2 linked regions of the Oryzias latipes genome follow. The protein of the gene in region 2 purifies or fractionates together with the protein of the main gene of each other region. This does not show direct contact. Links are inferred from orthologs where the notes say so. Each region holds a gene or a part of one and is shown on either strand. Other genes may lie near its edges.

Region 1 (15,578 bases), on a different chromosome or scaffold from region 2:
GTAGTATCAAAAGTGTTGGCTCACCTGCCTTGACTCCCTTATAAACTGACGTTTAATCCCATTCCTTTAACTCGTAGAGTTCAATATGATGTGGGTTCACCTTTTACAGCTGTTACAGCTTCAGCTCTTCTGGGAAGGCTGTACATAAGGTTGAGGAGTGTTTCTAGGAATTTTAGACCATTCTTCCAAAACATCATTGGTGAGGTCATACACTGATGTTGGTGGAGGAAGCCTGGTTCTCAGTCTCTGCTCTAATTCATTCCAAAGGTGTTCTATGGGGTTCAGGTCAGAGCTCTGTCAAGTTCATCCTCATCCCCAGACTCTGTCATCCATGTCTTTGTGGACCTTGCATTGGTCACTGGTGCACAGTCATATTGGAGGAGGAAGGCCTGCTCCAAACTGTTCCCACAAGGTTGGGAGCATGGAATTGTCCATAATGTTTTGGTATCCTGAAGCATTAAGGGTCAAGTCCTGAAAAAACAACCCCACACCATAACTCCTCCTCCAAATTTCACACTTGGTCCGAAATGCACCGTTCTCCTGGCAACCTCCAAACCCAGACTTGTCCTTCAGATTGCCAGATGGTAAAGTGTGATTCATCTCTCCATAGAAGTTGTCTCCACTGCTCTAGAGTCCAGCGCCGTTGTGCTTAACACCGCTGCATCCAACGCTTTGCATTGCACTTGGTGATGTGTGGCTTGGATGCAGCTGCTTGGCCATGGAGACTCATTCCATGAAGCTCTCTGCGTGCTGGACTTGGGCTAATCTGAAGGTCACACGACGTTTGGAGCTCTGTAGCAACTGACTGTGCAGAAAGTCGGTGACCTCTTTGTGCTTCTGCATCTGCTGAACCCCCTCTCCATCAGGCTACATGGTCTACCACTTGGCGGCTGAGTTGCTGTTGTTCCCAAACTCATCCATTTAGTTCTGATAGAGCTGACAGTTGACTGAGGACATTTCACCACTGGATTTGTTGCACAGGTGCCGTCCTATGACAGTTCCACGCTGGAATTCACTGAGCTGCTGAGAGCGGAACATTCTTCCACGAATGTTTGTAAAAACAGTCTGCAGGCCTGAGTGCCTGATTTGATACACCTGTGACCAGACCAAGTGATTAGGACACCTGATTCTGATCATTTGGGCCGGCTTTACACTGCAGGTCTTGATGCCCATATCCGATTTTCTGACTATATCCGATTTTTTTGACGACCCGCTTACATCATCTTTTAAAAGTGACCCGTATCTGATTTTTGCATTTACACTACACAATGCTGAAACTGTCAAACGTAGACGTTCTGAGGACTACGTAGCAGCATTTCCGCCTTCCACGGACATCCTTTGGACTTTTGTGACTGCGGTTGTCATGGAGGCAAGGCGGCGACGGAAGGAGGCGTTGCCTTGGGCGCTCCAGACGGGATGCACGGGGGAGGAAAAGAAGGAGGGCTGGTCGGCCGTCTTATGTGCTCTCTCTGAGTTTTGAATGAGGAAGTGTTTGCAGACGTTGTGCTGTACTAACAGTTTGATCCAAGTGTTGAACCTTTCCTGAGCAATGACACACGGGAGAATTCCTCGGGGTTCTCTTTTCCGTTCTGAACCCTCAGCCTCCAGTGGGCTAAGAAAGACTCCAAAACTTTTGGGCGAGACACCTTATTTTTAATTTACGGTTCTCCGACAGTCCCCCGCTCCGCGCTCACACCCGCTCTCCTCTCCTTAAGTTACACGCACACACACGCAAGCACGCGCGCGCGCGCACACACACACACTGTCCCCATCATACACCCCCCCCCAAAAATAAACAGCTTCTAGCTTGTTCCATAGCAACGGTGTCCCGCTTGATTAGTTACCGTTTGAGTCCCGACCGGGACCGGACCGGACCGGACATAACAGCGGTTTCCAACTACGGTCTGAAGCCTGATGCTGAAAGGTAACACGCTGACAGCAAAATCAGCGCACAAAAAGCACCTTAATAAGTCATGTGATCTCAGTTGGTGGTGTCCTGAATTGACATCACTGACGTACAACTCGCATTTACTGGGGAATATCCGATTTGTCTGCTTACATGGCACACGCAAATGCACGTATCCGATTTATTTCCGATTTATTTCCACATATGAGAGAGGCCTGTATCCGATCTTAGAAAAACAGAATCCATGCGCTTTTGTCCTGCTTACACATTCACCGGTCATATCCGATCTGTGCCACATGAGAGGAAAAAAATCGGAATTGGGTCACTTGAACAATGCAGTGTAAAGGCGGCCTTGGATACTTCTGGTAATATGGTGTATGTCACTGCTACAGACTTTTTCAAACTGCATTTTTTGTCTGCCCCTGATTCACATCAATGTGAATGAAGAAATACTCATAAACGGAGTATCCTTCCAAATGTTCTTTATATACTGTATGTCCTCCAGCATCAGAGAAAACGCTACAAGAAGATGGTAAAAAACACAGCAAAAGCAGTATTTTCATTGGAGTTGGTCTTTAATAAAACATTAGCATGCTCTAAAATTTGAGGGTTTAGCCACTGAGGGAGGAAGTAAGCCTTTAACCCAGGAGTGTCAAACTCATTTTCACCGAGGGCCACATCTGCATAGCGGCTGTCCTCAAAGGGCCAGATATAACTTATACATGTAACTAAATGTGAAAAATAAACTTAACTACTCCTAAATGTTAAACAACTAATTTATGTATTTGTAGTAACTTTTGAAAGGGACAATTACAGTTGCATAGAAAACATGTTTGCTTGTAACTCTAGCATAAATCCTTTTCAATTAGATTCTGTCAGGTTAGATTATATGGACAGTGTTTAAGTCCTAATGTATAGTTGCCCAATCTGATATTTCAAGTCAGATTCCCCCTAGATATGAATAAATACACACCAATTTTTATTTTTTTATTTTAAGAAATCAAAAACTTTTATGCTTTCGGGGGCCACATAAAATGACATGGGGGGCCACATTTGGCCCCCGGGCCTTGAGTTTGACATGTGTGCTTTAACCTTTTAACCACCCCACCAATGAAAAAAATAGGATTTTATTTATTTTTTATTTTATTTATTTTTGGGTTGAGTAAATAAAACACGCCATGTTTTTACAAAAATATTAGCGCACCCACATCACAGCAAGAAGGCCCCATTTTAAATCCCAGCTGGGACCCTTCCATGTGAGTTTGCATGTTCTCCCCGTGCATATGTGAGTTTTCTTCAGGCACTAAGGCCCTCAGGCCAGAAATATGCTTCATAGGTTCATTGGTGACTCTAAATTGCCCCTATGTGTGACTGTGAGTGTGTAGCCCTGCAACTGACTGGTGACCTGTTTAGTGTGTAACCCGCCTTCACCCTACAGTAGCTGAGGATAGGCTCCATGACCCTGATGGTGTTTCAGCAGGTTCTGAAGCTGCACGGGTGGAGATGTCCTCTAAAATGTTGTTGAATAGGCAGTTAAAGCGTTAAGACCAACTATTGAGCACTTAAAACTCATTGCAAGGCTCTAACTAATGGTACATCTGCTGCATGGGTAACTCCTGATGGTTTTGATTCATACTTCTTAATCCTAAGTGGAACTTTTTGGATTTTGTGTTGTTTTCTTCTGTTTTCAAAATTGTTGGTCATTAAATCAAGTATAGAAAAGTTGTTGGCAGATCAGCTCAAAATTCTGTTTATTTAAAATGTTGACTGGTTTGAACTCCTTGCCTCATATATCTCTCAGTGGGATTTTCTTGTTTTTTCACAAAAAGTTTTTTTTTTTTTTGACAGCTGGAAACCCACGAATGCTCCAATTCATAGAAGACATCGTTGTAGCTGAATGTCTCCCCTTCATTCTAGAAAAATGGGATAAATGATTTTTTTTTTAAGCCGAGGCAGCAACAGAAACATAAAGCCATAAAAATGAGTGAACACATCCGCTGAGTCATGAGCGAGTCACGGGAAGTGAGGCTTTGCTGCAGGAGACTGCAAGACATGGAGGGGCATTTGAAACCACGGGGCAATTATGCAAATGGTAGAATTGGACAGTCTCCTCCAGTTTGATATCAAGACGGTTATTGATCAGAGCTGAATTGGTAGAGGAGGAGAACATTTGCGTTAAAAACTAAAAGAAATTCAGGTTAAAAGGCTGAAACAACATCAAATAATTTTCATACTACTGTCACAGTTGAATTAAAAACTATTACTGATCAACATTAAGAAGTAAAAAGTTTTGTATTTTTTGTGCTACATTTCTAGTTGGATTTTACTGATATGAAAAAATATCGTGTAGCTTTTATAAAGCTGTGTTGAGCTTTGGTCTTCTTTGACAGAATCAGTGTTCTATTTCGTATGAACATAGTGTTGTGTAGTTTCTGATGATGTGTAAATGAGTAGGATCAGAAAGGGATGCTGGATCTGAACTGTGGGTTTGACAGCATTCAGCAGGAAATTCTCAACAGAAATACTGCCCCCCTGTGGTTGGAAGACAGTAAATTACAATCTTGTTAAATGATGATGAGTATTTTTCCAACAACTGTCCTTTTAATTAATTATTATTATTATTATTATTTTTAATACATTATATGTATGGTATTGTGTTAAATCTTCTAGTAACAAGTAAGAAATCTCTTACAAGAGCCAAAAACATTTGTTAAAGTACTAAGATTTAGATGGCTCATTAATTTGCTTTTCTACGTAAATGACTGTTGATTTTCAGCTTTTCCTTGACTACATTTTCCAATTAAAAAACTGAAATAAGTAAATTATTTTCATTTTATTGCCAATTTTTAAAGGTTTGCATACACAACTTCAGTTCCAAATGAATCTCGGATTTTTACTGTCAGTATTTCGTGTTGCTGTAAATGAATTGATTTTCAGTTTGTCATTTTTTTTCATCTCTTTCCAGAAAGGTCTTCCTGGTAAACGTATATTTAGTTTTCCCTTGTAAAGGGTGTTTTCCATGGCAGACCTGAGCCCCGTTAGAAACACAAAGACCCAGGAAGTTGAGCTGCTTGTTTGGTGAATGAAATATAAAAGAAGCCGAAATGAAATAATGTGTTAAATACATGTGTTAGCATGATTAGCAAAAAAAAAAAAAAAAAAGAAAGTCTGCTGTGAAAAAGTATGGTCCAATGCATTTGCCGTTTAAAATTTGCTGATCACCCATTTTGGTTTGCATCAAACTCGGACACTGTGTTTCAGCATACATCTGTTTTTCTGTTGATTCTGTCCATGCTCTGCAGCTGCTGGATGCCAGGAGAACCAAGGTTTGTCCCTATGTTTGCACCATGTGTTGCGTGCACAACATAGAGTCACCTTTAGTGTGGCGTGTTTTTACACCTGGCAATCCCTTTGCACCATGAAACCTTTGAACCCTTTAGACCCTCAGAAGAAGTAAAGGCTTTTTTTTCTTGATTCTGTCTGACTCCTCTTTCCCTGAACGTTTTCCTTGTGGAGTAGAAGTTGTTCATTTGAGTCCATGTCTATCAGAGCTGTGGATGTAAGAAGCATTCCTTTGACTTGAGTTGGATTCGAGCGTCCCGAATCAGAAACACAGATATGCCAAACTTTTCTTGCTGGTGTTTTCTGACTCCCTGACGCCGTTTTTGGTTAAATGAATTCACATTTTATTTCTGTGAATTCATTTAACCTTTTTTAAGTGTGCAGTTCTAATGATAGTATGGGAGATTGCCCAGGATTGCAATGTTTTCTACATTCTGGACTCAAAAATTGGTTATGATTGTTGAGAAAAAAAACCTTTTTTTTGTTTGGACACAGGCTATCTTTAACATACTTAGACATTTTTCATTTTTTGTTTTTATCTTCTCCATTGTTGCCATATGAAGATCACTTTAAAATCAGAAGCTTAGGAATTTGAGATGCTTATCCATGGCTAAACTTACTTTTTACCATACAAAATATTGATTACATTTGTTTGAAAAATATTAGTTAGCAAACCTTTTTGAATTTCCTGTTTTAATAAAATTATTCTAAAGGAGTTTGGACTCAAACTAAGCTTTTAGGGCACATTTGAAGGAAATGGAGACTCTCCTGCAACTTGGAAAACAAGGACTTAATCCCAGTTGCTTTCTAACACGCTTCCTCTTCACAGTTCCTGGGTTGAAATTTTCTTTTTCAATTGAACCGCGAAGCCATTTAAACCTGAATTGGGCCATTTTCTGTCTTTGGGTCATCCTTTGTTCCTCTTTTCTTTGTTAAGGGGAAAGACAGAACAAAAGCCTTGATAGACAGTGGCCCAAAAAGGATTCTGCTAAAAAAGAGCCAACATGTTTACAGAGAGTCAAACCTACATTGATGACAAACTAAACGGAAATTCTCGGTTTACCATGTTGGTAAAAAGGGCATCTCCAAAACAGCTTCAGGTACTTTGCTGATGGCAGTGGATCCTTCTCAGAGTACCACAGTACTCTGTCTGTTTGTGGCTGAAATTCAGCAGCGTTTCACTTAAAGTGATAAACTTCCTGTTTTAGATCCTGAAGAGCTGTTTTGGATCATCTCCAGGTTTTAAACAAATGTTTTGTTGCTTTTAAAAAAAAAAAAAACTTTAGATGGTTGATTTTTTTAAAGGCTGGCAAAAGGTAAGTACTACAGTTTTCATCTGCTGTTGTCAAATTATCAGTGAATTTCACTTAAAGATCCAGTCTGATCATCTTTTGATCTATTTTAAAAGCGTTACCACTGGACAGCCCCCCCAAAAAACAAAACTGTGTTGTTTTCCAAGGCATAGTTTCTGCAGAGCAGCAGTATTCATTACAAATTCACCCCTAAGTTGTTGGCACAGAGCAACCCCGCCCCCCTTCCCCTCCCCATCACTGAGAGCTCTGCCGTTAGCTTACAGCCCCTCACATCCCCATCCTACCATTACCAGTGCAACAGAAACAGTGAGCACTGTTGGAGTCGTATTGAGCCAGATGCCAACTCAGACAAGGAAAATGAAGACATTCATGAATCTATTTGTCTGTAAATGGATAAATCAAATCGAGGTGGAGTTTGTGGTCCGCCCAGCATGTTTTTTACGTCACAAATACAATCTCTGTCAAATGGCATTTTTCTGCTTCTGATTCACAACGATTTACATTAATAAATACTCAGAAATGCAGTTTTAAGTGAAAATTCCTTGATATAGGTATGTCGTCCATCATCAGAAAATTCCACGTGTTAAAACCACTAAAACCCCAATTTTCATCGGAATGGGTCTTTAAGAAGTTTGTTTTTTCCTGCATTCTTGTTTCTCAACGATGGCACTGCGACCGTTTGTGCGTGTACACATGCATGTGTTTGTGCATGTGTTCATCAGCATCTTCAGATGACCATCCAGGCTCTGCAGGACGAGCTGCGGACACAGCGAGACCTCAACCACCTGCTGCAGCAGGAGAGCGGAAACCGCTCCGGCTCCGAGCATTTTACCACCATCGAGCTGACAGAGGAGAACTTCCGCCGGCTGCAGGCTGAACACGACAGGCAAGCCAAGGAGCTGTTCCTGCTGAGGAAGACCCTGGAAGAGATGGAGCTCAGGATTGAAACGCAGAAGCAGACGCTGGGGGCCAGAGACGAGTCAATCAAGCAGCTGCTGGAGATGCTGCAGAGCAAAGGTCTCCCTCCTGGGCCAGGCAGGGCATCGGAGGAGGAGGAGCAGGAGCGAGCCAGACGTATCGCCGAAGCAGAAGCCCAGCTTGGACACCTGGAAGTTATTTTGGATCAAAAAGAGAAGGAAAACATCCATTTAAGAGAGGTACATTTGTTACATTCTTGTGACTGCATGGCTTCCTGGCTGTTTTCACTGTTGCCTTCCAGCTGAGAGGTTTCCATGCTGAGTTTGTAGAGTAGTTTACATTTCCCAGTAGGTCAGAGGGTTTACTCTGTTGTCTGGCTTCCTCCCCCGTCAAAACCTGCCCATGAAGTGGTGGTTCTGACATACCAGCAGTTTTGACATGAACATGTGGGTACTCAGTTAGGAACGACCACATGACCTCCACGAACCCCAAACAGGATTTAGAAAATGGATGGATGGTGTTTTGTGTTGTTGTCACTAGATGGCAGAGCTGAGCATAGAAAAAACTTCTCTTTTCTGCTGTATTCTATTTATTATGTAATGTGAACTGAAAATTGCAGGCATGTTTGTTGCATGACAAACCTTGCATGCTAAAAAAACACATTTTTTTGTGAGATTTCTATCTTCTCTAGAGCTTAGAATATTATTTTGTCTTTTCTTAAAGGAACTTCACAGAAGAAATCAGCTCCATCAAGACCCTAGTAAAACCAAGGCCCTGCAGACCATTATAGAAATGAAAGTAAGAACTTGTTTTGTGAACAGATAGAACAAAGTAAATAGTAGTGTCCCATCCTGTCAATCACCAAGAAGCAGACGTTGTGTGTCCATAAATTGGGGCGGTTGATGCCCATGAGCAGTGTGGTTTGTTAACCAGCTGGGCTTTGAAAGACGTGTTTTCTGCATCTGCTGTTTTTGGGTCCCAGGCTGCTGAGTCAGTTGTCAGCACATTTGTAGGTTGCCTCGTATCAGATCACAAGCCTGGCGTGTAAACATGAACAAAAGGCAGTTCAATACAGCCATTCAGCATTTCCTCCATGGGGACGTTTTGGAAAGGGTGTGGCGAACTGAGAAGCTAAGATGATATGACAAGTAGTAGCAGGAGATTGGTTCTCACACTTTGCACAGATAAGCATTATTCAGCGCTTTTCAAGCTTTTTTAAATGTATTTATTATACTAAATTCAGCTTTTAAAGAGTCTTCAACTGTTTTCTTTTGCCTATCAAGCACAGAGACGAGGATGTGCACGACATCACGAAAGACCCTTTTTTCGCATGTGAAGTCCCCCCACCCAAGTTTGCAGAAATTTCCTTTAAAATCTTTAGCTAATAAAAAACAAACTCAGATTCCCAAATGTGCTTAGTTTCTTTTGCAAAGGATGGAAACGGTCCCTCCTGTGTGCATCTTTGTAGCAGTCCACTGTAGCAGTGGAAATGTCAGCTGCATCGAACCACAGAGCTGCCGTACACACCCCCAGCCTCACTGCAGAGGCCTGACATCACTTCCTCAAAATATATCATGACATCATCGCTGAGCTGACACAGCCCCTCTTCGGCTGGATGGGAGCTGTGCAAGCCCCTGCCTCTTCAGGCGCCGTCACGTGGCACCAGGGCTCGCGGATCTTGTTGATTTTCATACATGGGGAGGAAAGTCCTGCCCCCTCCTGTGCTATAGAGGAAGACCCTCCATCTCTCCTTTTCCCATCGCTCTGCTGATGCTGATGGAAGCAGGAATAATCCTCCCTCCCTCTCCTGGTCTACAGCCCTCCCGCCCTCTCCTCTTCACTCACCAGAGACAGTGCACAGCATATAGCCTGCCTGCTGCTGCCATGGAAACAGGTGTGGTTGTTTATGACAGTATGCAGGAAGGTAGAGAGACAGAGAGACATACAGATCCAAGGAATGATAAAGAGCAGGATTTACTGACTAGGTTGATGCACCACTGACACATGTGGATGGAATAAAACCACCTCTCAAGGTACGCCGTCTCATGTCGTTTGCAGAAATGTCAGCTCACATGGAATTTTTCTTCTCGTAACACAGAGTCTTAGGTGAGGTGCAGGAGAATCTCAAAGTGCATGTACGTGTGCGGGGCTCTCGCATCGACACAGACCTCTCAGATCTGCCGTTCTTTATTGCTAAAACATTCAAAATGGTCCTCTGTTGCACGCTGTGACCAAGCCCGCCAACGACCATAAGTTCACAAGTTCAGAGACACTAAAAGAAAATCGAAAGAGTCCTAAAAGGAGAGCAAGATACATGCTCTCCGTGCATGCTTTGCTGGACAGGGAGATGAGCCATGGCTAATCTTGAAGATGTTGTATTATTTATTTAAAAAGCCGTGAAGCTACAGCAGCACTCGCCATCACAGTCCAGAGAGAGGGTTCTGAATTTATCTGCAAGCAGCCACTGCAAAAGCTGCAGCTGCTTACTTTTTCTTTTCCTTGTTTAACAATTTTCCAAAGTCCTGGAGAATCTGTCTGTGCTGGATGTGTGCTCAATATTTCCCAATGGTGATTAATCCTTTGAGCCCCTGCAGGGAGCTGGTAGAAAGCTTTGTTTCGCCGACTGTGCAGTTGTTCTCTACCTGACCAAAAAGCTTCCTCCGTTTACTTTCCGTGTCTGCTGCTCCCCCATTTTCTGCGACTCTCTCTCTCTGTCTGAGTGTTTTTTAAAGCTCTTCGGCTCTCACCCTCCTCGGGCTCCTCTCTGTAGTTTAGCTGCAACATGCTTTTCATGGACAGGCGAGGCTGGATTTTGAGGTGCGTCTCCTTTGCATTTTTGTCTCCAGGACACCAAAATTGCCTCTCTGGAGCGCAATATTCGAGATCTGGAGGATGAGATCCAAATGCTGAAGGCTAACAGCTTACTGAACACAGAGGACAGAGAGGAGGAGATCAAACAGATGGAGGTCTACAAGAACCACTCCAAGTTTATGAAGACCAAGGTAGAAGCCTGTGCCAATTGATGCAGTAAAGTACTGCCCCAGGAAAAAATCCATATGATGTGAAGTGTGTACAAACTTTTCTGTCATAATTAGCATACAAGCAGCAGCCTCAACAGCTTATTGGATTCTCAACTAAACTTACCTGGTTTACTGTTATATAAATACAGTTTTGTATGTATTCATATCTCAGATGTCTCTGCATTTGTTCTTTTTTAATTTTTGCTTTACAATCATTGTTACAATCATCAGCTAGGCAGCTAGAGCAGTTTTGTCATCTATTTTTAGACCTCTTTCATTAATCATGAATAAAGAGGATGTATAAAACATGATCAATGCAGGAGTCAGTCCCAAATGCATTTTTAATGGGGAAAAAAAAGCCCATCAACGACAATAGTGCAACTTTAGCAGCTCACGGTTTGGGCAGGTTTCTGGCACAAGGGCAGTCATGATGCTTAAAGACATTTGCCTTTTTTTGGACGTGCAGATCGACCAGCTGAAGCAGGAGTTGTCAAAGAAGGAATCAGAGCTGCTGGCTCTTCAGACAAAGCTAGAGACCCTCAACAATCAGAACTCAGACTGCAAACAGCATATTGAGGTGCTTAAAGAATCTCTCACTGCCAAGGAGCAACGTGCTGCCATCCTACAGACAGAGGTAACTGCTGTGTTTGCTGAGCCTGTCCCACTTTGGAAAAACTTTATTTAAATCTTTTTTAATTGAGCTGTTAATTGGACAGGTTGCATCTTACAAAATGTTGCATGTTGCAGAGACAACAATCACTCAGGCATGCTCTTTGGCTTCTTTTAGTTGTCAATTAAAAGCAGGTGGCTCTTTAAATAAGTGCTGTTAAAGCAGGCGTTTCCTGTCATTTCTTGTGGTTGGTTTGGCTTCAGGTGGATGCTCTGCGTCTCCGTCTAGAGGAGAAGGAATCCTTCTTGAACAAGAAAACCAAGCAGCTGCAGGACCTGACGGAGGAGAAGGGAACCCTTGCTGGAGAAATCCGGGACATGAAGGACATGCTTGAAGTCAAGGAGAGAAAGATTAATGTATTGCAGAAAAAGGTGAGAGCGAGGAAACCAACATCTTTGGATCTATTTGTAAATTTTATTCCCAGTTTTCTTTTAAATATGATTATGCAGGTTTTGGCCAAAAAAAAAAAAAACCTGTGTTGTTTTCTAAGGCAGTTTCTGCAGAACAGCAGGAGTTATTAGAAACTTGCTTGTGGTTGTGGGGAGGACTGTTGGCATGGACTAAGCCTACTTCCCATCATCCATCTGTTTACACGCTCTCCCGCTAGCTTACAGCCCCTCACACCCCCAACCGAACATTTCTAAAATTTGACAAGTTCCCTGCAAGTAGATAGTTCCCTGCAAGTAGATGCATCAGAATGGAGTATGTTGGCTTGCTATTGTAGTTTCTCCATCACAACTACAATCTTTTTCAATAACATTGTTTTTTTTAACTCCTGACTCACAGTGATTTGAATAAAGAAATACTCAGAGATGCATCTGAATTTTAAGCACAATGTCTTAATTTGTGTCTTCCATCATCAGAAAAATGACACAAGAACATGTTAAGAACGCCAGATGTTGTGCAATTTCACTCCAAAGTGTAAAGTTTTAAATGGGTGGTGACAAAAGCCCAGAACCTTTCTCTCCATCAGGAGAGAAAGTGTCTCCAGCAAGTTAAAGGAAAGCGTACAGAGAGACAAACACTGGGACACTTCTGTTATGTTCATCGCTGAGTGTTTATGTGTCTGAGCTGGAAATACCCACAGAACCATTCTTACACTTTGACCCGTTTACAGGTCTTCTTATTCTTTTGCCTCTAATTGTAATCTACGTCAAACTCTCCTTTTTTTCATTCTTTCTTGTTTTTGTTAATTTGAATTTGTGCTATACTCCATGAAATCTCTCTCTCCCTTTATATATATATATTTTTTTTTAAATGCAAAACTCATCTCTTGACTCACTGTTGTTCCTGTTTGAGTGTTGATGTGTCATTTGATGCAGAAATCAAGTTAGATAGGAGTAAACACAGAAATATGTTTATATTTGTGCACATCAACACCTTCGACTAATCTAAACCTTCTATATAATTGAATGTTTCATTAAAGGATGATGTTATTCGCATGTATTTCCGAGCGACCAGCTCAAAAAGGTCAAAAAGTGCTGGGAATTCATGCACATTGCTGCGTTGCCTGCACGTATTTTAAGTGTGTCCAAGGCTGTATTTTGTTGTTTGCTGCACGTATTTCAAGTTAAACTTAAAGTCCCATCATCTGTCACGTAAGGTGTGTGAAATATGTTCTCCACATTTAATCCATCCCCTGGAGGGGCGGTGAGCTGCAGAAACAGCCGCGCTCAGGAGCCATTTAGTAGTTTAATGCTAACTGTAACCATAACCTTAAGACATCCTCTGTGCGGCCAAGAAAAAAGTTCAATGCTTGCTGCACGTAGTATTTCAAAAAATTACGTGCGAGTAGACACTTTCTTAATTAAAACAGGAGGACAAGAGAGAAAGAAGCCAAACACATGCAGAGAGCATGCTACCAGTCCTTAAAGTGGTCTGCTGTGCTGAACATCTGGGGTTCATTGGAAAGCAAATCAACAAAAAATAATTTTACCTTTGAAATGACGTTTGGTTTTCTGTTTCTAAATTCTACTAACCTTTGCTTGCATAGAGCCTCTCAAAATTAGACACAATCTGCCTCTAACATTTATTAGAAAAATCTTTACAAAGGATTTTATTTTCATATTTAATACTAGTAATTATTGAAGCCTTCACATAACTTTGCTTCCATTAAAATTGCATTAAAAAAATTCCGTCTAAATATCTACATTTTTTGACTTTCATTAATTTAAAGCTGTTTATAAGTCTTGAACAGATCTCAGACAGTTGATTTTCCAGCTGATTTTTATAGCAGTTGTTTTTCTATTCTACAAATTAGTAGACAATACTATTCAGTTTCAGGTCTGACTCCTCCCCCATGAGCACATATTAACCAGCTCTAAAACCAGCTATTTCAGAATAGACAAAGCCTTTTGGATAAGAGGTGAAACATCTTCAACTTTTAAAAAGCAAGTCCAAATGGCAACCTGTAAACCTACTACTATGATGGATTCTACCTGGATGAAAGAGAGTCTTCATAGACATTTTACTAAAGTATTTTTGCTTCTTCCCGGGATTTCACAATCCACCTTCTAACTTCCTGAGGCAGATTGAAAACCTGCAGGAGCAGCTGAGGGATAAAGAGAAGCAGCTGGGGAACCTGAAGGACCGCATCAAGTCTCTGCAGACGGACTCCAGTAACACAGACACTGCCTTGGCCACCCTGGAGGAGGCGCTGTCGGAGAAGGTAGAGTGCAAATCATCACCTTATGAGACGGAAGTTAGGATAGAAACATAAAGGAGAATGTTAGTAAGCACAAAAAAATCACTTCTTCTTTTTAGAGGATCAAAAAGTGTCTTTTTTTCTCTAGATTTGTGCTACACATAAAACTTTTAAGGTAGCTTTTTTAACATTTAGAGTAAATATTAATATTTTTGCGGCTGGTTTGCGGTGCCTTCCGTCCGTGAAACCAGGGTTCGACTTCGGGCTGCTCCCTGTTCCCTTCTCTACTTCTGTGCTGGTCCCAAGCCCGGTTGCTTTGAGAGGGTTGCGTCAGGAAGGGCAGCCGGTGTAAAACATTGCCAAGTCTACCGTGCGACTCTTTCGCTGTGGTGAGCCCTGATGGGAAAAGTCAAAGAAGAAGAGTAAATATTAATATTTTTATTTGAAATAATGCCAGCAGGTGTATGATGCAACTAAAAACATTACTAAAATTATCTACATTCAGTAAAAATAGAAAAAAATCTAAGTATTCTACAACTTTACAGGTTTAGTTTAAGCAACAAACAGCAGTTTTAACTTTTCAGTGATGTTTATTAACTAAAATGCATTTTAAAAAATCCATTCAAACAAATGACTCGAAAGAAGTATAACTTAAACCGGTTTTAATTAAATGATCACAAAAGTCCCAAACTTTAAAAAAAATAACAAACAACTGCTGTAAATGTAGGTTCCTCCTTGTCTTGGCAGTCAAAAATGCAAATTTGTGTTCCTGATGAACACTTCCTGTAGTTGTATATCTATAGAAAACATAAAGTTTTGCTCTTTAAAAAAAATCTAAAGTCCTCTGGAAACTGATTTAGGTTTTATTCATATTGTGCTATTGAATATGTGGTAAATTAGTGAGCTTGACAAACAGAGACCCAATATGTAAAAAAAAATCAATACGGTTAGTGTTGTTTGCTTTGTTTTTTGTGTGACGGATTAGGAGAGAATCATAGAGCGATTAAAGGACCAAAGGGAGAGAGAAGACAGAGAACGCCTGGAAGAGGTGGAGTCCTATAAGAAGGAAAACAAAGATCTGAAAGAAAAAGTCAACAGTTTGCACATAGAACTAACTGAGAAGGAGGTCAGTGGGTGACACACATGTTTGTCTCTACTATACTTTAATGCACATGCATCACATTTTTGTAAACAGTGAAACCACTGAAACATTACAATGGATATTTAAATTACCAAAATAGGCAGATCTGGAAAATGTTCCACTTATCCAGCTTTAAGGCGTTTTTGCTGGCTCTATGCCTACAGTCCAGTCTCATCGATCTCAAAGAACACGCATCGTCTTTGGCGTCTTCTGGTCTCAAGAAGGACTCAAAGCTCAAGTCTCTGGAGATCGCCATCGAACAGAAAAAGGAGGAGTGTAGTAAGCTAGAGACGCAGCTACAGAAGGTAAGTGCGACTGCATCACTGCAAGCCAAAATGTACAACTTTGGGAATATTCAACTTGCATTTTTTTGGCCTAGCGTGGAGACTTTATGTTTAATAAGCACTTCATTATTATGTAGCATCTATTCTGTTTGGAATAAACAACGACATAAAGTCCTTTACAAATAACCATAGACATAGTTTCTCAATTCTCTGACATGGTTGAAGATGTCAGTGTGTCAGAAGAGAGGCTGATCTGACTGGATTAGATGTAAATTGCAGGTTTTTGACCCAGATGATCAGAGTCACCAGAGAACCTTTAAAATCACATTGCTAGAACTAT
Region 2 (15,578 bases):
CCACAAGTGTGTCAAGTGTCTTTTTTGTTTGTTAAAACACCATCAAGCAAGTGGAATATTATATCAAAACTAATAAACCCCACAATACTATTAGCAAGAAGTCAGTCAATTTTTTCCAGAAACAAAAATTATTTAAAAATATGTTGACTCAATAGCAAATTCACTAACTTTATTCCATTTTTGTCTACCTAAAAATTTCTAACGTGTCTAATTTAAATCATCAAATCTAATTAAACTGTTGCTGTTTGTCTGAAAATTAAGCTAACAGCTGTCATACACTGATATCAAATGACCCAAAAAAAATGGTAAAAAGCATTTCTGTAGTAAACAGTTAAACGTTTACGTTTAGAATTCAACTGTTACTTTACTTCAAAGAAACTGGGTTAACTGTAAAGAAAATATGATAGTGTTGAACCAAAGACCTGCTTATCATTTCAAAGATGGCGCACGTCTTCGTTACTTACAGACGCGTTGACAATGGCGGCCATTTTTGAACCTCCACAACATCATGCACAGATTAGAAAACGAGGGAGAGAGACATTGACAGTCAATGGAGAGAGAGACTGCGTTTTTTTCCCCCCTTGCTTAGAACTCTATGCATTAATATCAAAACACTGCCATCTAGTGGAGTGGCGGACCTTGACGGGCTTTCTGCTCACAAAACTTTCATAAAACTCCCAATTAATCCAAAATCTGAAGAAGTCCGATTTAAAATCATAAATGTTGTAAAAATAACTTTTAAAATTAAAGTATGGATTTGAAGAAAACAACTGTATTTTTGAACACTGAAACCACTGACTTCTTTTTTTAATTACTTTAATAGTTTTAGAGATGATTTTCATTTCTGGTGTTCTTCTAAATTCTTTAATCTGGTGAAATAAAAATAAAAAAACATTTCTTTTGGGTGTCATTTCACATAAACACATGTTTAGTGTTTATGTATCAATAATCCAAGGGTAGTTCTATAATCATAAAAGTAAATTGTCAAAAACCAAACCACTTTTTATTCATTCATCCATTTTCTTTTCCGTTTTATCCCTTTTGGGGTCACGGGGCTGCTGGAGCCTATCCCGGCCACTTATAGGCGAAGGCAGGGGGGCACCCTGGGCAGGTCGCCAGTCTGTCGCAGGGTAGAATGTCCACAATCACACACCCATTCACACTCACACTCACACCAATGGACAATTTAGAGTTGCCAATTAACCTATGAAGCATGTTTTTGGACGGTGGGAGGAAGCCGGAGAAAACCCACGCATGCACGGGGAGAACATGCAAACTCCACACAGAAAGGTCCCCCGTTGATGTGTTTCACGTCCCCCAGCCGGGACTTGAACCGGGGGCCTTCTCACCGTGAGGCAAGAGCGCTAACCACTGCGCCACCGTGTAAAAAAATACACTTTTTAATGTATTTTATAAAGAGATTTGTTTCTATTTGTAATCATTTGAATACATGAAAAATAATCACTTCACTTCTGTTAAAGACAATGACTGATGAAAACCCTTAGTATTTATGTTTTATTTTATTGTCTTTGTTTTCTTCTCTTTATTTAATGATGTAAAGAATTTGTTTGTTCTCACTGCCCTAACTGTTTTATATTTGTGTCTATATGTTCTCATATTGACATTTTTAGTGTTTACTTTAAAAAAACAGGATTTTTTTTGCCTGTGCATTCACCAAATTTAAGGCCAAAGGAGTCGAGTGCAGACAATTCTAAAACTGAAACTTCTCCCAGTTTAAACTGAACTCCTTTAAAAACAAGCAAATAATGTGAAGTTTGATCAAACCATTAATCAGCTTCTGTTGATTCCAGAGAGCAGAAATATTCATTTCTAGTTCTTAGTTTGGTTTTTCAGCTCACTCTTCTTCTTTTTTTGAGCTTCTTGTTGAAGCAAAAGTACAGATTAAAGGAAAACTGATGGGTTTCTTCCGAGGTTGCGTTTCTGACCCAATCTCCAAAGTTCACAAAGTTTTATTGTGGCCCCTGACTTGCCCGGGCTCCGCTGAGCTTTTCCACGCTGGTCTGGATCCAGCTTTCGTCAGAGGGGGAGGTGACCTCCGCTCCTGCACCGGAGGGAACCAGGAAGCGCCTGGAGGCCCGGCTGGCAGGGCGAGGGTGGTGGAGGATCAGCAGAGATTGCCTGCAGATGTAGCTTCGGGGGCCCCTCTGCTTTTTTAAGGAGAGGAACATAAATCTCCCAAGCCCTCTGCTGCGCCGTATGTGAGGCCAGTCACGGGACCCAGCCGGATCCGCATCCCAGAGTCCTGGAAAAGCAATGAGCACTGAGCTAAGTTTCATCTCTTTTTTCTCATAATGAGCTGATTTTAGTGGACGTTTTTAGATTTTAGGGTTGAAAATGAGAACACCAACAAGCATTTTCTTGTAACAGGTGAGTTCTGCAGCAGGTGATCTTGGTGCGTTCCTTTTTTATGATCTGGTTTGAAACATTAAAAAAAAATGAGAAAAGCAAAGTCAAAGTAAAACCAGCCCTAAAACGGAGTTTTCCAAACAACGTTGGAAGGAAAAAAGATCATCAATGAAGGAAAAACTTGATAAATCTTCATAGAGATTCAGCTGATTCCAGCAGGATAAGGAGGACAATTTCCCAGTGAAACCTTATGGAGAAAAATCTCCCGGTAAAGGTAAGAAACCGTTTCAAAATGTTCCTTTTATTTTCAAAATTTGATGAATTTTAATATTCTTCCAAAGAAACCTCAGCTGCTCCATGATCTCCCAGATTAAACATTTCCTTTTTTGAATAATTCATTGTCCTGGTTGTTTATTTTACAACCAGCAAACACAACCATGAGAGAATCTTTCCTTCTTATGATTTCCTCACACAATGATAATTCCACTGGTTGAAAAGAAAAAGAAAAAGGGGGTGTAAATAATATAAATCTCCTGCGATCATCAGACTCAAGAACTGCAAGGATGCAGATGTTCAGAGTTGTGTTCACACCGGGCTTGTGACGTTCATTAAAGAATGCGCTAAATGCAGGGTCTCAAATGTGCATTTAGCCCATGGCGTTCACACCGGACAAGCAGGGAGGGGGGGGGGGGGCTTCTCACGAGTCTGTCACAATCACACAGCCATGTTCACTCACATTTACACCTAGTAACCACTTGTGAACACCACACCTATTATATGAAGCATGTTTTTGGACAGTGGGAGGAGAAAACCCACACATGCACGGGGAGAACATGCAAACTCCACACAGAAAGGTCACCAGCTTCATTTTAAAATTGAGGTAATTTTGATTTCGAAAGAGGGTGGACGACACATCAGCGCTTCCTCTAAAGTCACAAAAAAAAAACCTGAAATTTTTTTTTAAAAAAACAAGCGAGGAAAGTCTCACTCACCTCCACTGAGGGGACGAAGCTCTGAGGCTCCACTTCCTGTCCGGCCACGTGTTCGCATCCTCACTTCAGCTTCCTTCCAGCTTTAAAAGCGGCTGAAACCCTTTCAGGGTCACGGGGTAGCTGGAGCCAACCCAGCTACTGTTGGGAAAAGGTGGGGTACACCCTAAACAGGTCATCGGTCAATCACACACTTACATGCACACCTACTCTTCAGCGTTCAGGCTCCACACTGGCTCCCAGTTGGGATTTGAACCAGACTCGTCTCACCATTAGGTGAGAGTGCTAACCACTACACCACCATGCAGCCCTTGCATCAGCTTCACATCGCAGAGGTCGAGTGGTCAATCTCTGCCCGCTTTGCCCGCCCATAAGTTGAAGTGTCCTTGAATCCCATGTTGCTCTTGGTGGTTTTCAAGTTGGCGCCACGCAATGAGTTATCTTGCTAGAGACGCTACGCTAGCATTGTCAAAGATACGTAAAGAGCGACGCCATATTGGAAAGGTCTGTAAACAATGAGACACGGCTTAGTAAATACAGTAAAGCCAGCATAAAATGCTCAATTTTGGTCCAATTTTAAAAAGAAAAAAAAACTCATCATAAAAATAAGACCCAGGTCATCAACAGATGGACGGCATACATTATTATATAGAAAACCAAACGCACACCCGATAAGTGGGTGTGATTTTTTAAAATCTACACACACTAAAATTTACACAAACTCCTTGTTTCGTGTTTTAAATGGGTCCATGGGTAGCCGACATCGCCGCAGACCGCTTGCGCCCGTTATACGTGGGCTGGTCGCCGCCTGGGGCGGCGCGATGCGTTGGAGCAGACTGAGAACAGAGAGACGAGGTCATTTCACTCATCCAAGTTTCCTTTAGTCTTTAAATAACAAGACAAGAGAGGGCTTTTTTATCCACACATCCTTTTTTATTTGTAAATAATAAAAATGAACTTTTTTTTAATATATATTTATATATATAAAACATACACATCATTTGAGCCACATCTGTTGTACAAACAAGAAACGTTGCTGTGAACTTTTTTGACTTTTCTCTAATCTTTTTTTGTTTTGTTACAGTGGAGCGCAGAAGTTTGTAAACAATCAGCAATTTTATTTCCTGTTAGTACGGACAAAAAGAAAAGAGAAACTGAAAAAACCGACTTCACCAAACGATGGAAAGAAAACGGCTGTGAAGTGAGACAAAACATGGCCCGTTTGGTTCAAAAGTGAAGCTCACGTGTGCTTGTTCATCAACTTGGTCCAATATTAACGAAAAATCCAGCAAACAGCTGTCGGGTATTTACAGTAAGACTCTGCGTTGACTCCTCGAGTCACTGAACGCCGCGTGGCGTTTTTTCGTACGTGGTCTGTTCCTCCTGCAGGAGGTGCTGTGAGGTCTGCTCAGTAACACTGTACAGTACAGTACTTTTTCCAGACGGTGAAGGAGAGACGTAGGTGTGACCTCGGGATTCGCTTTGAGACATTCAGCACCGGACAGACTGCAGCTGATTTCGGACGGCGTTATGAAAATGGCTTCTCGGTTTAACCTCTTTAATATTCAAGTACAAGCAAACTGTACAACTGCATGCAACATACAAGCGGCCATAAGCTACATGGAACTAACATCTAGTTCGTACATCTTTTTACGTTTAGTTTTTTTTTGGGGGGGGGGGGGGGGGGGGGGGGGCAGGGGGGTCGTCGTTTTGGTTTACAAAAAAATGTGCATGCAGCTTGGAACAGGTTCCAAAGTCATGCTGGCCCCGCCCCCTCTCTTGGTAAGAGGGGTCTCTGCAAGTCCAAAGGAGGAGGAGCTTAAGATTCCAGATGACACTGAGCTAATCTTTTTTTTGCTTCCAACTAAGGAGGACTGAAAATGACTTTTTTTTTTTAAAAACAAAACAAACTGTAAAAATGCAGAAATACACAACAGGTTACGAGTTGTTTTTATCTTTAAATTGAAAAAATATTGAAAATATTTCTGTATTTCTACATGTATGGGTTATGGACTGAGCTCAGAAAATTGGTTATGCAAATATCAAAATGATACATTTTCTTTAGAGTCAACGAAATGTTACTTTATTTCAAATCGTAAAATCGAAACCTGAAAAAAACCTGATTTACACGTGACCTCTGACCTTTTCTAAAGAGCACCACCTTGCTCCAAAGTCTGACATCAAGATCAAAACGGATTTATTGGCTTTCTGACTTTTGCCAAACTCACACAAACGTACATCCGTCCGATTGGTGAAGAAATGTCGGAAACTCTAGTTTCAGCCTTGTGGCGAATGCTCAAAGACGGATGAGCGATCATAACATGGCCCAACAACGCACGTGTGAGTCCTCCAGTCGACACGAACCCCCGGCTGAGAGCCTGTCCCAAGCTGACTGCATTTCACTCTTCCTCCTGTTACCCTGTGGGTGTGGCTAGCGTAAACGCTGGTTGCTAAGGTGCAGCGGGGAAACATTTACTCCAATGTACGGAAAGATAAATGATTACACAGATCTATTAGCTCCATACATTTAAAACATGATGTGGTTGCTATGGACTCTCTCCTCAATTATACTTCATTGACAGATAATCTGGACTTATTTAGCTAGCTAGAAACCATGGTTTTAGCTAAGATTTAGCTAGCTTTTCTCAATGTAAAGTGAAGAAGGACACAGAACACTTTGTCATCCAGAGCTTTTGCCCGGTGAACTCTAGATTTAGACTTCAGTTAGCATCCCCTGTTAAATCAACATGCTTGAATGCTAAAGTAATGAAATGCATTTATAAAATTAAATGTCTAAAGTTTTTTAGTATAATTTCTATATTATATTTTTAGTAAAAAGGTGTTTATTTCTATTTTCTACATGTATATATTTTGTCATTTTTAGTCCTCCATCAAGACAAAGTACTGAACTTTTCTCAGGATTGTTGCTTCATCCTCATTTTTTTTCTCCTGAAACGTTTTTCTTTCTAAAAAAATAGAAAGAAAAAAGAAAATCAAGCCATTGTGCTTGTGTTTGTAATAAAAAAGGTTAACCGAGGTTCAGATAAAAACCCTAAACGTGCTGGGTTGAGGGAAGGCACTCCCTCGGAACGGTGAAAAATAAGGGCATCTTTTCTACCGTTGGCGATGTGCGACATAAACTTGTATTGGTCCACCTCCTCAGAGGTCTGAAGCACACCTGTACAAAGATGGTTGGCCTTCTCATTGGCCGGTAAATGAGCACAAGCTAGGTGTGAAGGTCTACCATCAACATTGATTCTTCCCCAGAACTTTTTTTCTATCCTCCTTTTTTTCTCCCTGTGCGCGGATTGACAACATCGCGACCGTCTCCCTCGTCATAAGACATTTAGCGGCTGCGGTAACGAAGGAGGAGAAGCAAACACGAGGGGATGAGCGCTGCCTTCGTAAACATGTTGAACAGAGGGGCGGGTGGACACGGCTCCAGGTTCTAGGCACCAGAAAAAGGCCCTGTGCATTCAGACTGAAGATCCATGCGGCAGGCAAGCGCTGCATCAGGACTGCGCCCCCTGCAGGCGTGGAGGCCTTACATTCCCATGCGTACGTACATTTTTGTGCTGCGATGATTCGATCAAAAACCACCCGGCGACACTCAAACATTTGTCATTTTTGTTTTGTTGACAACAATGCATGTGAAACACTGAAACAGAAAGAACCGCGGCAGGAGTGATTGTCAGATTTCGACAAAGCTTTCTCGTTGCGAATCTTTTTGATTGTTCCTCAACATTTCTGCTCATCTAAGATCGGACTCCTGCGGGTCCAGACGAGCTGTCGAGGGACGACTGAGAAGCTCTGCGGGTCAGAGAGGCGAGCGTTGGATCCACCAACGAGGCCGGTGGGAACAGCTTGTACCAGCCAATGACTGTGCTCGAGAGGTCCAGCTCCTCCAGTAAGATTTGTGCAACTCCCATGAAGCTTTTGTGGTCCATGCGGCCGTAGTCCCCCCAGACTATTACCTGGAGGAGGACGACCATATCAGTCAACATGCATGCAGGCATTTGTGATCATGCCGCACAGGTGTTTGCTCACCTGCAGGACTTTCCCCTGAGGACTCTCGTCAAACAGCAGCGCCTGCTGGTACAGAGGGTCCAGAGTTTTCCGCGCAATCTTGGTTTTCTTCTTGGCAACGTACGCTCCATTATTCAGAAGATAGACCTTCACGTACGGAGCTTAGGGCAGACAGGACAACAGGAACAAGGCAATGAAACTAACCTTCATTTGCTTAAAGTCCCACTCTGATATTCCTCTGATCTATTAGTGGATTTTCTACAACAAAGGTAAGGTCTGCTGCACCTGATTTACAAAATTTTGAGTAAAGGATTATTGAGAAATCCAATTTGAGCTTAGTTTTCTCAATATATGTCTTCTGTCATCAGCATCAGAAACGCCACAAGAACATGTTAAAAACACAATTCTTTTTTTTTATCAGAGCAGGTCTTCAAACGGGAAATTTTTTTTTTCTTATTATGTTTTCAACAGCAAGTGAAGATTACGTCCTAAAAAAGACAGCTTTTCCTGAAAAAAAAAAATGAGATGGAGTAAAGAGTTTTGCCACAGGCTATTAAAAATATGAAAGAAGTCTGAGATGGAAAGAGATTCAACACAATATAAATAATTTAACAACCGACTTTGGTCTGATCCATAAACTAAAAAAACAAAACAACGTTTGACAAGTTTGAAACCAGCATCTACACCTGATTACAAAACTTTAACAATCAGATGATTATATGAAATTTAAAACTAGAGGAACTCCTCCTCCTGAGTTTAAAAAGGTGTGAATTATTTCCATTAAGTCTCAGAAATGTGGTCTCGTTTTGTTGTTGTCTCACATTTCTCCTTCTGACTTATGAGCTGTTGCTGGATCAGACTACTACCTGGGAGAGATTTAGATCCCGGTTTTTGTACCAGCCCTCGTGCTCTGATGACCTCCACCTCCAGCTGGCCCTTCTTCTCCATCATTCCTATCTGGATGTCACCTGGGTAACCGAGCACAGAGGGGGTTATAAACGGAAACCAGCAATGAAGCAGTGAGGCAAAGACTGAAGATGACATGAAGGAACAGGGCGAATCCAGAGAACATCCGTTCCATACCGATGGCAGGTGTTGCTAGTGTTTGTCGGCCCACCAGCTGAGCCGGTCCCAGTCCATCCAGGAAGTCGCTGAACTGGCTGCTGGCCCCCATGTTAATGCCAGAGAAGATCAAACTACAACAGGAATCACAACAAGGAGCAAAATCTAAGAGCAGGCCTTCATTCATGGAGGCACGGGGGAAGTCCAATCTTTGCAGGTTCAGAGTTCTGCAAGTCTGATTTCAACAGTTTAGAGTCGTGTTCTGAACAAGGAAGTTTACTGACTTTGCCTCCGAGTTGCAGCTGTTCATGCTGCCGTTGTTGGACTCCCTGCTGGGCTGGCGGCTCATGTTCCGGGTCAGTTCCACGGCTATGCCGATCTCGGTGCTCCTCTGAATGGGAGCGCCCTTCTCCTTCTTACTCTTCCCTTCTGGAAGACAAACGAGAGAAAACCATCGAGATCAGCCTGATGGCCAGGAGATCAACAAAGACCAACAGAAATCAACAATGGGTGGCTGATGAGCTTTAAAGCTTGTTTCTAGGACCTCAGAATGTTCCTGAAGAGATTACAGGATGACCCGTACTCTCTTAATGAACATTTTTAACATTTTGAATGTTTCCAGTCACTTTTAAGCAGATAATATTAACAGTTTGCCCAAATCTTTCACACTTTAACAAGAACAGTCACTTTTAGGGATTTTATCTGAAGTTATTATTAATTATATGTATATTATTATGTATATATATATGTTATTATTATTGTGTATATTTATTATTAATTATTCATGTAAGAGAATGTTTACAGTAAGCACTGTCTGACGCCTTTGTGGTTGATCATCTGCTACATAATGGTACTTATGTAAAATATGGTTTATTAGATTAACAGCAAAAGGTCAGGATTCTGGTGTAATCTTCAACCTCACAATGTCTTTTTTTTCCCTTCTTTATCTTCTTTCCTCACTTTCTACACTGAGAGTCACATAAAAACAAACAGTTATAAGCTAGAAATCTCTCTTACAGCGAAAACGGCCTGATTGTCTATTAAAAGCACAACATTATTTAAAGAGATGTTACATTAATCATAACTTTAATTATCTTGAATGGATTTAACTGCAGTAAAATGGGGCAAAAACAGCTAACATTAAATTAAATTACCTTAAATTATCATTATATGCCACCAAATGTAATAGTGCTACACCATTTGTTTTTTATATAAAACACTGTCTCACATTTTCACCTGATTCATTTTTCTGGTTTTTTTGTAAAAAGTAAAGAAATATTCATCTAAAAGGAGAGGGAAAATATTTTTTACTCTGTCATCAAGCTTAGTTAAATGTAGAATTGTTTTGTGTGCAAATAAGTAATCCCTCCATTTTATTGAAGGTCAAATGAAACAACTGTATGTTGATGTAAAAAATACACTCATTTTGTTATATGTTAAAAAAAATAAAAAAAATAAAAAGAAACATCAACTTGTATGCGAACAAACAGAACTCCTTAGAACAAATGGATGATGTAAGTATTCTAAGGAGGTTGTACCTTCAGGGCTGGCTAAAGTGAGGCCGGTGATGAATAAAAACATGAATGAAGCTGTAGCTTAAACATCTGCTGTTAATGGACTGCTCTCAGTTTCCCATGAAACTGCTGGAAACCAAAAGATAAATGTGCAGACTGACTGTTTAAGGTTTTCATTTACCGTCAGCTCATCCGCCAATCAGAGACACATTTTCTCCTTTTAGTGCTTCGATAAAAGCAAATTCACATTAATGAAACTGTTTTTAATAATAATATTTCAAAACACTTCGATTTTTAAGTGGTGCTAAGCTTATATTTAAGGAGGCCAAGCACAAAAGTGTCCTAAAATCTCCAGAGTGCAGGATTGCATAGTTGCTCCCATCATCATCATCACCATCATCATCATCAATCACAGAGCTGAAGAGTTTCTCTGTGATCTTTAGCAGGAAGTTGCTGTTTGTTGGGTGGACCTAAATGAGTGAGGATAAAGGTGCTTCTCAGGTGACTCTCTGCAGGTGAGGGAATTTAAAAGGAGCAGCGTTTTGGTCCTGATGTAAGATCGTTACGGGAATCAATCAGAGAAGAGGCTGGAGCCCGAGCAAAGAGAACGGATGCACTAACAGAGCTGCCGTGAGGGGGACTCCTAACTGCTCATAGATGGTACACTAAACAAAAAGGAAATAGAAAAACAAAATAAAATATAAATTAAATAAGAGAAATAGAATAAAGAAAGGAAAAAGAAAAAAACTGAAATAAGTAAGAAAGAGAGAAAAAATGTTTGTATTGTTTTATAAAATGGCATTAGCATGAAAAGTTAAGAGTTTCTGGATCTAAACTTTATTCCTGATTATTAAAAATGAACGGCAGATGGACACAGATCAGTCAGCATGGCACCAGCATGAAGGAAGGAGCATCAGGCTGACTGGAGCAGAGCATCTGGTCTATAGGAAAGTCAAGAGAAAGTGTGAGATTTTTGGCCAATTGTCAGAGACCAGTGGTGTGGGACAGAACCTTTTGGGGGCAGAAACCTAAATTATTATTAAATAAACTTAAACATGACAAAAGCATCAAGTCAGGGATCAAAAGGATGAGACAACAAATGACTTAAAAATAACAAAACAGAAATCCCGACACACTGGTTTTTTCTGTCCTCTCATCATGATGGAGGACATATATAAAAATATTCAGTTCAAATTTGCATTTCTGAGTATTTCTTTGTTCAAATTATTGGGAATCAGGAGCATACCAAAATGCAGTATGCAACAGAGAGTATTTGTTTCATAGGATATAGACTACGTGGGCCACAAGCTCCTTGCTCGGTTCCATTCTGATGCATCCTGTAGACAAATTGATCCATGAACGTCTTTGTTTTCCTCGTCTGAGCTGCTATCTGGATAAAACTGGCTGGACAGCTCACCATTTTTTTATGCACCAGTAATGTTAGATTGCAGGCTAGTGGCAGTCCCGCTTCCAACTCGGAGGCAAATTTCTATAGAACTTCTGCCGCTCTGCAAAAACTGTGTCCTAGAAAACGACACAGGTTTTTTTATTTTGGCTAAAAATGGCCTAATCGTATTTAAAAAACCACTGGGAACCCTTTGAAAATAGCTCAAAAGATGATTGGAGTGGGACTTCAAATGCAATGAAGGTAATTAACTGAAACGAAGACAGCTGTGGATGATCAACCTGGTATGATTGACAGGAAACAGAACATGACAAAAACCAAGAAATAAATATCTCTTAAAGTCTTTAGCATGTTAGCAACCACACCGCCTATAAACAGCACCTGTGGGGCAACAAGTTTTCAAGGTTAAAGATTGGGATCGGGTTAAGGACTGATGATCAAGTTGGATCATTCATTTGAAGACTCTAATCCGTCGAAAAAATGCTCAGACATCTGGGTTTCCAGAGCCATCTCCAGCTTACTCAGAGAAACCAGAGCTTTTCAAGGTCACTCCAGAGATTGAAAGTCTCGCCGTGTAGCCCGATGTCTGATCTGAGGTGTTTCAGAGACGAACTTGACTGAAAAACCTCCAGCAGAAGAATCCAGGAAGGTCTCCTGACAAGCTGCCCGATAGAGCCCATCAGTCTAAAACAGATAAAACGTCTAACAACCGTTTAACTCAGAACAGTGAATTCCCACAGAAAAAGAGATGGCTGTCAGGCAGATCAAACCCAAGGTCACACTCATGCTGTGAACAGGAAAGCACTCAACAGTGATGGTCACACGGAGCCGACCAGTGGAAGAAAGCTTCAAGCTTCAAGTTCTGGACAGTCTGCGTGTGAAGCTCAGCCATGCTCTCAATCCAGTAAACAGGAAACGATGGGACAGCAAAAACAGCCCCCTGTGACATCAAACGTGTCTGTGATCTAAGGCCTGTTTTTGCTTTCCGTCCTGCACTGATTTCTCAACGTTTAATATCAACGTGATAAAAGTCAAGAGGAAAAACCACCATCCGTACCTGCTTTTGCTGTCATCCATGCTGGCCAGAAGAGTATAGGACTAAGAATACACCTCCTCCTTTTCATCTAGGTTATCCAATGAGGGGGGAGGGCAATCTAATGTTGTCTCAAAGCTTTTTCTGTCTTCAACAAAGGAGGCCATGACAGCATTTGATTTCGGCCCCGCGGTGGAAGTGGATTCTGCTGAAACTCGACATTTCATTTGTGCACCGAGGCAGCAGAAGCCTTTGTGTTTTACTTTTCTTCGTAGGAGTCTGGGAACGTTCGACCCCCCAGGACAAACACTCTCTCTGGAAACGCTCCTAAAGTTATGGCATCAGTGAGAGGAAAAAAAAGTTGTGTCGTCTGAGAAAAACTACAGCCCCAACATAACCTTTGAGTTTTAAGGACCCCAGTGTTAACGCATGCGTTTGTCAGCAGGGGAGTGTATGTTAAGGTCTCCCAGAGCACATTCCCACTGTTTTTGTCCATTGTTTTGTGCAAAATAAATTATTTAGTAGGGATGTCCCTACCTTGGGCCCGGTCACAGACTTGATCAAAATCCGATGTTGTATCCCGATCAATGATCGAATGTTTATTTTATTGTCATCATTGTGATCAGTGCTGTCTATTTCAAGTCTATCATTTCAAATAAATGCCTTACTAGAAGTCTGCATAAAATGTACGGTTCATGACATTTTATTGCCATAAAGGACATCTGGATACAGCAGCAGTTTGACCAGAAGGAGGTACACAAAAACAGTTCGTTAAAGATATTCACAGATTTGGACTTCAGGGATCAATAGTTCTTTTAATAAATAATTTAAAAGGTGCTGCTTTTTGGGTCATTGTTCTACAGCAGAACCAAAAGACTCTTGAGATCATGAACTTACAATGGAGAAAGCTCACCTTCAGAAATAAAAAACATTACACAATCATTGTCAGAAGTCAGAGCTCTGTCTCCCCCTCTGGTCACCGGCAGAAACTGTCTCCAGAGTTATAACCACACTACAGCTCCCAGCATCCCCGGTGCACATGTCCTGGATGCCACACAGCTGTGTCACTTGCCTTCTTTACCAAGTTTCTTTGGACCTGATCCTCTGTCTCCTGACCTTGTAGCTGTCTGTTTGCCTGCTGCCTTCCCAGACTCTCGCCTGGATCCTGACTGCTAGGGATGGGAATAGAAGCCCCATGAAGCTTCCCTTGGGGTTCAACTTGACATTTCTTTATGTTCTTCAGCTTCTTTGATGACCGACTGGAAGTGCCTGACCGCACTTCCTGATGCTTTTCCAGATATTAATAGAAGACTCTAGCGTATTCATTTATGTTGACTTTCACATTAAAACTTTAGAAGCTTTGTACTGCCTTTCATTTTTTTTGTTTTTCAGCCAAAACACATCAGTTTCTGTCTAGGAAAACATAACAATAACTACCTTTTTGCTTCAAAATTTGGTTCCTGAGGCAAAAACCGTAAAAAAAAACAGATGACTGCTTATTACTTTGCTTTATCTTCTTCAACAGTTGGCTCATTTTTTTTATGTTATCAGTCTGATAATTATCAGCAAACCTTTGTAATATTTTTGCTTACAATATTTCACATTCATGTGCTTATTGTTTGTGGGATTAACAGGTTAGTGGCCGGTGTTGTTACTTACCAGGCCCACTGATCTGTGAGGTGCTGCGGGTCCGACGGTTGCCAACGATGGCGACCACTCTTGCGCTGAGGCTGGAGCGCCTCTTTTTGCCTCCGCTGCTCACCGTGCCCAGCGCCGTGTCTGATTGGCTGCCGTCGTTGCGCTCCTGCGTGTAGATCTCCCCGCTTACGCTGGAGCTCTTCATCATGTTTCGGCCCATGGATGATCGAATCTGCCGGCTGGAGGAGGAGCACAAGGTGTATGTGTGAGGCCTGGTGAACTAGGGAGTGAGGGGTGTTACCAAGCTTGATGCATACCATACCTTTATTTTGACAAATAAAAGCAAATCCGAGGATGTGGAGAGTAAACTTTCATCAGAAGATTCCTATATTTGTGCATACATCATTGTTTCAAAATAAATTTCTGTACCGACGAAATGCTAATTTATGCACCTCCCACATCTTACACTATGATAGAAATTTCAAAGGCTGATGTTAACTGTGCTTTTAATGAAGCACTCACTAGCATTTATTTTAAAGTTAAAGGGCCTTTATCATGCAAATCATCATGCAGCCCCTCCCAATCCATGAAAACGAGCGGGTTCTCATGAGCTGACGTAGACCAGTGAAAACAGCCCCTTCCAAGAAGAGTCTGCACTGCCAGAACAAAACGCCCACTTTCTCCGTGGAGCTAGTGGGGATTGCTAAAATCTTCTTCCTTTTATATGCACACATCCATCTTTGCAAAAGTTTGGATGACGTCATGAAATGGGCGGCACCCACACAGAGCAAAAGGCGGTGCCTAGGAGATCGAGTTGTTTTAATTCCGGGTTGAAAAATAACTAATATTTAATTTAAAAAATTGTTCTTTTGTGTGGCAAAGGTAATATATTATCATATACCTGGATATAATTTACTATAAAAGGTTAGTATAAAAGGAATGGCATGGTATAGGCCGTTTTTAGGCGGGTAATATTAGCCACAAAGAAAATGCAGAAAAATGTGACTGATGTCAGACAGTATTGGAATTTTATTAACTTGGACAATATTAAGAACTGTACAAGGATTACATGTGAAGCAACGCTGCTGGAGTAGTATCAAATGTTTTTTTTTAATGGTTGCTTACTGCCTTCTTTTCTCTGTTTCCCATCTTTCAATATATTAAACCTAAATTGGTTATTTTTTCTTATTAATATTTTGTTTACACTGTTAATATGGTCATGAAACCAGATATGCTACTGTGTTTGGCTTCCAACCAACTTCCTTTCTACCTGGTTTCATTATAATTACATTAAGAATAAAGCCAGTAGCAAAAAAACTGCAATATTAAATTAGCTTTTGCATGTTTTTCCCCATCCCATATTCATTAAGGCTAGTTACAGAACTCTTGGAGCTTTTAGGACTTTTGTTGATTCTTGGAAAATACACAAAGTAATCTTTAAATTCTAAAGTAAAGTTTAGAGTCTTATATCTCAATGAAAATAACACTTGTTGTTTTACTGAAAAAAATCAGCCATCTTAAATTACAATTAGCATTAGTTTAAA

Evidence for each region.
Region 1: the proteins of regulating synaptic membrane exocytosis protein 1 (region 2) and erc2 purify together in Homo sapiens (affinity purification with western blotting; 3 studies listed by BioGRID and IntAct, with this or other methods). This does not show direct contact. The link is inferred for Oryzias latipes from reciprocal best matches to the Homo sapiens genes RIMS1 and ERC2.

What each region holds. Positions count from the first base shown.
Region 1 is NC_019863.2:5,032,466-5,048,043, forward strand, and holds part of erc2 (ERC protein 2), read left to right. Parts: intron 1-5,208; coding exon 5,209-5,232; intron 5,233-7,283; coding exon 7,284-7,718; intron 7,719-8,202; coding exon 8,203-8,277; intron 8,278-10,325; coding exon 10,326-10,481; intron 10,482-10,965; coding exon 10,966-11,133; intron 11,134-11,372; coding exon 11,373-11,540; intron 11,541-13,699; coding exon 13,700-13,837; intron 13,838-14,798; coding exon 14,799-14,939; intron 14,940-15,118; coding exon 15,119-15,259; intron 15,260-15,578. UniProt on the Homo sapiens protein: Thought to be involved in the organization of the cytomatrix at the nerve terminals active zone (CAZ) which regulates neurotransmitter release. Seems to act together with BSN. May recruit liprin-alpha proteins to the CAZ.
Region 2 is NC_019859.2:8,144,103-8,159,680, forward strand, and holds the end of regulating synaptic membrane exocytosis protein 1, read right to left. Parts: intron 14,274-15,578; coding exon 14,056-14,273; intron 8,874-14,055; coding exon 8,729-8,873; intron 8,579-8,728; coding exon 8,466-8,578; intron 8,351-8,465; coding exon 8,249-8,350; intron 7,544-8,248; coding exon 7,404-7,543; intron 7,331-7,403; coding exon 7,112-7,330; 3' UTR 5,035-7,111; downstream 1-5,034. UniProt on the Homo sapiens protein: Rab effector involved in exocytosis. May act as scaffold protein that regulates neurotransmitter release at the active zone.